2 linked regions of the Bombyx mori genome follow. The protein of the gene in region 2 interacts with the protein of the main gene of each other region in a pairwise test. Links are inferred from orthologs where the notes say so. Each region holds a gene or a part of one and is shown on either strand. Other genes may lie near its edges.

Region 1 (3,056 bases), on a different chromosome or scaffold from region 2:
CAATATCCGGAAAATTTTACAATGTGAAACTGCTTGCTTTTGTGATTATAATTGTAAAATTCGCACCTATTGGCACTGGAGCCATCTCTTATCAATTAGTGGCCCTAACAACCAAAAAATAGCACAATAACGTCATCTAAATGAGGGTAGACGAACGATATTGATTGAGGTCGTATCATAAATCGCACCATACTAAGGGGCCTATATGCACAAGAACAAAGGTGCGACAATAATCAAACCGAATACAAGAACGCGAAGCGAGACTATACGTGAAGCAATTATATAGTAAAGAGCGACACCTATTCAGTATGCAAACAGCAAGCATATATTGTATGTACAGTGATACTATAATTTTGATCCTGAGAACTGTCAATAAACATATGTGTGTTTTAATTACTTCACCTTGTACATGAAGTTAACATAAGAGGCCCAAACCTCAATAACAAAGGTAAAACCATTTTTTTGAAGTAACATTTTTTCACAAAGCAGAGAACCAAATGGTATCCACGGGCAAGAGCTTGTGTAAAAGGACAACTTTGTAACAAATACTCACAGCTGGGTACGAGGTCCTGGTGCATGTGTTCGGCGTCCATACCGAGCGACATGCACGTGCTGGGCGGGGGTCGGCGCTGCACCTGTAATTCACCAATTTTTAGTTAAAACCAAATTAATTAATTCTAATTTAGGAACCAACTTAACTAGCTAATAACATCATCAAAACCAAATAACTGTTTTATTAGGTAATTAGTGGAGATGAGCAGCCAAGCTCATGGCTCTTAAGTTTACTTAGAGGTCATTAAATGTTAATGACCTCTAAGTAATAATTAATTACACATACTGTAAATGAATTAAAATTATAAACAATACAATGCACGTATTTCTTAAAGGACTAAAAATTTTATTTGTGCCATATAAAAATCTCCAGCAGTTAGAGCTTCGGAGAAACCTCCTCACAATGCACACTGTGTCGAGAATGACAGCTTTCTGCACTAGGTTTTTAAGCCAGCTGGATTGTGAAAGCTCCTTAAGGTGTTGGTTAAAGCTCTTCAGCATTAAATCATGCACTTGCACAACCATCAGAAGATTAAATATTTTATCAATGTATCTTTATCCTTTTCAGTCTTCTGGAGGTCTTTTGAAGTCGTCGTGGTCTAACGGATAAGACGTCCGGTGCATTCGCGTTGAGCGCGATGCACCAGTGTTCGAATCCCGACGGCGGGTACCAATTTTTCTAATGAAATACGTACTCAACAAATGTTCACGATTGACTTCCACGGTGAAGGAATAACATCGTGTAATAAAAGTGAAACCCGCAAAATTATAATTTGCGTAATTACTGGTGGTAGGACCTGTTGTGAGTCCGCGCGGGTAGGTACCACCGCCCTGTCTATTTCTGCCGTGAAGCAGTAATGCGTTTCGGTTTGAAGGGTGGGGCAGCCGTTGTAACTATACTGAGACCTTACAACTTATATCTCAAGGTGGGTGGCGCATTTACGTTGTAGATGTCTATGGGCTCCAGTAACCACTTAACACCAGGTGGGCTGTGAGCTCGTCCACACATCTAAGCAATAAAAAAAAAAAAAAAGGTTCTCATTGTGGTGAATGGAGATATCAACCAAATCAAACCCAGCTGTTAACAGGATTTCATGCTTATTGAACAGGACTATGGTTACCGCAGGAGTCAGTAGAGCCTTTTCAAGAACTGATTAAGGTTGGTATTGACAATAACATACAGCAGAATCTACAAAACCATATTTCAGGGCAAGTGAATGTTACTGAATATTCCAAGCCACTTGCTTGTATCTATGAAGTATTCTTGCTGTCACAAAAATTTGCAACCAGAAATAATTTATCTAATACTTCTACCTGCATCTAAAGCTATAGTATAAATTCCTAATAGTTATTCATAATGATAACTCAATTCATATTTGCAGAGATACATAACTTTCTGTTTCCTAAAGAAGCTAGAATGTAGCTAGACCACAGAACCTAATTTAATACTTTAAGTATAAAAATATTATTGTACCTGATCCAGGTTGAACCTCACAAAGGCTTCATACTGTTCAGCAAGCTTGGTGCTGAGTACAGACTCATACTCAGCACGTAGAGCCACCTCCTGATCATGGAGCATTCGCTCACAGATCATACGAACCTGAATAAACACATTATATTTATAATGATAGGGGGTGCTTCAGAATGAATAAACAATAAAAATAAAAAAACTTAATTGTGTTTTCTGTAACATAATAAGAAAAAAACATTTAAAGCCCTTAATCTCTTTTAAAATTTATATTTTAAACAAACAACTTACTTTTTACTGAATGACAATAAAGAAAAATCCTTTTTAAAAACTAAAGAGTTTTAAATAATATAGGCTTTTTCTTTACACATTTTTAATTAAAATGAGGTGGATCTAAACCAGAATTGAATATAAAAAATGGAGCATTAATTATTAGACCTGTTTAAAAGTGAATAGTGCACGAGTGCGGGCACGTTGTGGGCCATGAGCTGATTGATGAGGCGGTGAACAGTCTCCTTCGGATCCACTTGATGATGAGCATGATGCAGCAGAGCCGTTGGCCAGGCGCAGCTGTCCACGTCTATGCAGTCGTTTAATCTCATCATAAATCTCTTGTGCCATGCGTTCTGTAAACATTTTAATTTAGTTAGGAATTAAGTTTATTGGCGCAAAATGAGTCATGATGATCCTTGTAATTGTTATAGATCAAAACTGAATATGTGTAAGAAGTATAAGTTCATTTATGATGATGAGCAAAATAACCCACTGTCCACCTGGTGAAAATGGATTTGATTGTGTTTCTTGATTTAAGAATTGATTCCGGGCTACTTCACAAATTCAAGTTAACAAGTAGATCTAGTTCTGAAGCCTGTGTGATATTGCCAATATTCATAGATCACATAATGCTTTCAAATGTGTGAAAGCTTAGACAAACATGTGCAGCCAATTATGTCATACACTAAAAATTTTAAAACCAGGAACAGTTTCCTGGCAGTGGAAATTTACAGGCTTGCACAAAAAAAAAAACCTTGATTGT
Region 2 (3,297 bases):
AAAAATCTACATATGTTTTTATTACTTTTTGTTATAAACAAATGTGTTTATGATAGTCTACAATATGCTGGTTAAATTATAGTTATAATTTAGAATAAAATAAAATAAGTCTTGATCCTGATGTTGTTTCGTATTTGTAGTAGAACGAAACGTATCAAGAGGCTCGGATAAATCGGAGGGAAGAAGCTATCTACTGTTGGATAAAGAGAGATAGCACTTATCCGTGATTGTGAAACGCAAACTAAGGATAGATACGCTCTTGCTGATATTCGGAGATAGCTATCTATCCGAAAACTCAGATACGTTATTGAAAACGGCCGTAAGACTTGTGCCGTGGGCTTGTTTTCATTTTTTGTCTGCTTGACTATGCTGTTATCCACTTACAGCATGATCAATAATTATTAAACAAATAAATTCGCAGATTTTCTTAGGTAGTGCATCTAAGTATGAAAATTCTCCATCAAAATCTTCACATTTTTAGTCGAATTTTAGGAATATGGTAGAAATGTAGCTGCAGGGGTCCACCGGAACTACCTAAGTTTTGAAAGTGATCTATGAGAAAAGTCTGTGAACCTCTAGTTTATAATTGATGTGTTTAATTTAAAGCAGGATACAGTTTCTTTTTACATTACTTATATCACTTCATTTCATTCAATATTATCAGGAAAGCGTTTAATGACTTTCGCTATGAACAATAAAGAATGATGTCTGGCAGGAACTGAAGAGCTATTAAGTGAAATGAAAGTCCAGAGTTGGCGGGTAAGAGTATAATTAAAGGAGCGCGGGGCGCAGCGCCAGGTCGAGGTCGCGGCGGCGGGCCAGCAGGCGCGCGTGCAGGTGTCGCGCGGCCGCCTCGCCCGCCCAGCCCGCGCAGTAGAACTGTGCGCGCCGCTCCTCCTCCGGGTTGCCGCTGGCGCCGCCGCTCATGCTCTGCAACCCAGGTCACGGTGCTCACGTGGAGAATAATTTTTTTTAGCTTACGTTAATAATTTAATGTGATCACTGACCTTGAGGTCTCTGGACTGACTGACGAGCCACTTCTGGATGAACTGCTGCGGATCCTTGCTGAAGCTCAAGAAGAACTCGCGGTTTGTTTTCAACTGGTTGATGGTGTCCACCTGCAAGTCGACGGCGCCAGTCAGAGAGGGCGGGGGGCGGGGACGGTGCGGGGGCGGGGGTCGGACTCACAGTCTCGTGGATCTTGGAGTCGAGGCCTTGGATCTCCTGCTGGTTGGCGGTGCTGAGCAGGAAGTTGTTCATCTGCGCCTTGAGCGTGTCGTCCACCTCGACGTCGATGTCGTAGCAGGCGGTCTGCTTGGCGTCGTGCGGCGGCTCCACGGCGATGACGTGGTTGATGACGATGGGGTCGGGCGCGTGCAGCAGGGCGCCCAGGCGCGCCGGCACCTCGGCCAGCTTGACGCGCGGTGCCCCGAAGATCTGCTCGAGGTAGCGGTCGCAGGCGATGTACTCGCGCTCGTGCGGGTCCTGCAGGCGGTGCGTCTTCACGTACTGCCACAGCGCGTTCACTATGACGGGCCGCGTCTGCGTGTGCACGCCCAACAGCCGCGCCAGCCGCTGGTCCAGCTTGAACTGCAACGGCTGGTAGTCCAGCAGCAGCAGGATGGTGCACCGCACGTTCTTGTAGCCGGGTCGCTTCACCTGGAAGCCGTCCGTCTCCTGCGTGGTCACCGTGCGGTGCCACTCCACGAGGTGGTTGTCGGGCCCGTACAGATCTTTATCGAGTTCTATCACCAGAGACTTGAAGAACGACGAAAACTTCCGCTTCACCTGCAACGGGACATTCTGTGCTGAACGTTTAATGAAACCCATTCACGAGGAGCGTCCGGGGCCACGAGCGCGTCGCACCAACCTTGTTCGGATCGTTCTTGGAGTCGTCGAGCAGACGGCCCTCCACGCGCAGCTCCCACGACGGCACCGCGTTGTCGCCCTGACCTGCGCCGCCCACAAGCCAATGTATCAATAAGTTCAGCGCGGTGGTGCTGCCGGCAGCGGCGCGAGGCTTTGGTATTCGCTACCAAATAAATAAATAGAAAATACAAACCGGGGTAGAACGTGTTGGAGATGAATATTCGAAGTTTTCGTTTCTGTTTCATGGGGCGTTTGAGGGCTTCTTGAATGTCGAGACGTTTGCGCATTATGGTGGCGTCGAGTTTGCGTTCGAACGCGAGCAGGTCCATGTAGGCCTGCGACTCGGGCACGAGGTCCCGCACCTTCTGCGGCAGGATCTTGTCGGCGAGGCGCTTCTTGCGCTTGGCGGACGGCTGCGAGTACGCGTCGTACAGCGGCTTGTGCGGCGGCGGGTGCGGGGCGCGGACCTCACCCCCGCGCTTCTGTGCGACGGCGGAGGGGGGCGCCACGGGGGAGGGCGAGGGCGGCGCGGGGCGGGGGCCGCCGCCATAGGCCGCACCCCCCGCCGCTCGCGCGCCCCCTCCTGCCACTACGCCGCCGCCGCCGAATCCGCTGCGTGCCTGTTGACAATTTGATCTTGTTAGCATTGCAGTTTGTAAAAAAAATTGCGATGTTTATGGACCTTGTGCAGTGTCTGTCAGAGTAGCACAAATTTGGTTTAAGCGTTTTCAATCCGGAATTTTTGATGTCAAAGATGCACGTCACTCTGGTCGCCCTATTACAGATCAAATGGATGCCATTTTTAAAAAAAATGGAGCAAGATCGGCTTATCAGTAGTTACGACGTAGCTGAAAAACTGGGAATTGACCACAAAACAGGTTTGGCGCATTTGAAAAAAAACTGGGTACACGAAAAAGCTTGATATTTCGGCAAAGGCCGGTCAGGCTTAACAGACTGTGGCGAAACACGGTGTAGCTCGCAACAAGGTAATGCATTTTGTGTGGTGGGATTGGAAGGGCATTATTCATTATGAGTTGTTACCACAAGGCAGGACCATCGATTCTAAGCTCTACTGCGAACAACTGAAGAGATTAAAGCAAGAAGTAGAGAGAAAGCGGCCGGAATTCGTCAACAGAAGGGCTGTGGTTTTTTATCATGATAACGCTAGACCTCACACATCTTTAGCCACTCAGCAAAAATTAAGAGAGCTTGGAGATGTTAATGCTTCTGCCGTATGGTCTTGACCTTGCACCTTCCGATTTCCACCTGTTTCGGTCTCTTCAGAACTCTTTAGGCCAAAACCAATTGTCGCGGTATTTTGATCAGAAGCCCCAAAATTTCTATAGCAATGGGATCATGTCCCTACCTACAAGTTGGCAAAAAGTTATCGAACAAACTGGTACCTACATACTTTAGTTAAATGTAAAT

What was found.
Region 1: the proteins of brahma-associated protein of 60 kDa (region 2) and akirin protein interact in binary tests that used the Drosophila melanogaster proteins (3 or more experiments, as listed by UniProt). The link is inferred for Bombyx mori from reciprocal best matches to the Drosophila melanogaster genes Bap60 and akirin.

The regions. Positions count from the first base shown.
Region 1 is NC_085128.1:2,361,422-2,364,477, forward strand, and holds part of akirin protein, read right to left. Parts: intron 2,647-3,056; coding exon 2,459-2,646; intron 2,153-2,458; coding exon 2,027-2,152; intron 636-2,026; coding exon 399-635; 3' UTR 1-398. UniProt on the Drosophila melanogaster protein: Molecular adapter that acts as a bridge between a variety of multiprotein complexes, and which is required for embryonic development and for normal innate immune response.
Region 2 is NC_085116.1:235,894-239,190, forward strand, and holds the end of brahma-associated protein of 60 kDa, read right to left. Parts: intron 2,490-3,297; coding exon 2,063-2,489; intron 1,954-2,062; coding exon 1,871-1,953; intron 1,804-1,870; coding exon 1,189-1,803; intron 1,119-1,188; coding exon 1,008-1,118; intron 931-1,007; coding exon 772-930; 3' UTR 753-771; downstream 1-752. UniProt on the Drosophila melanogaster protein: Involved in the recruitment and site-specific anchoring of the Brahma complex at specific promoter sites.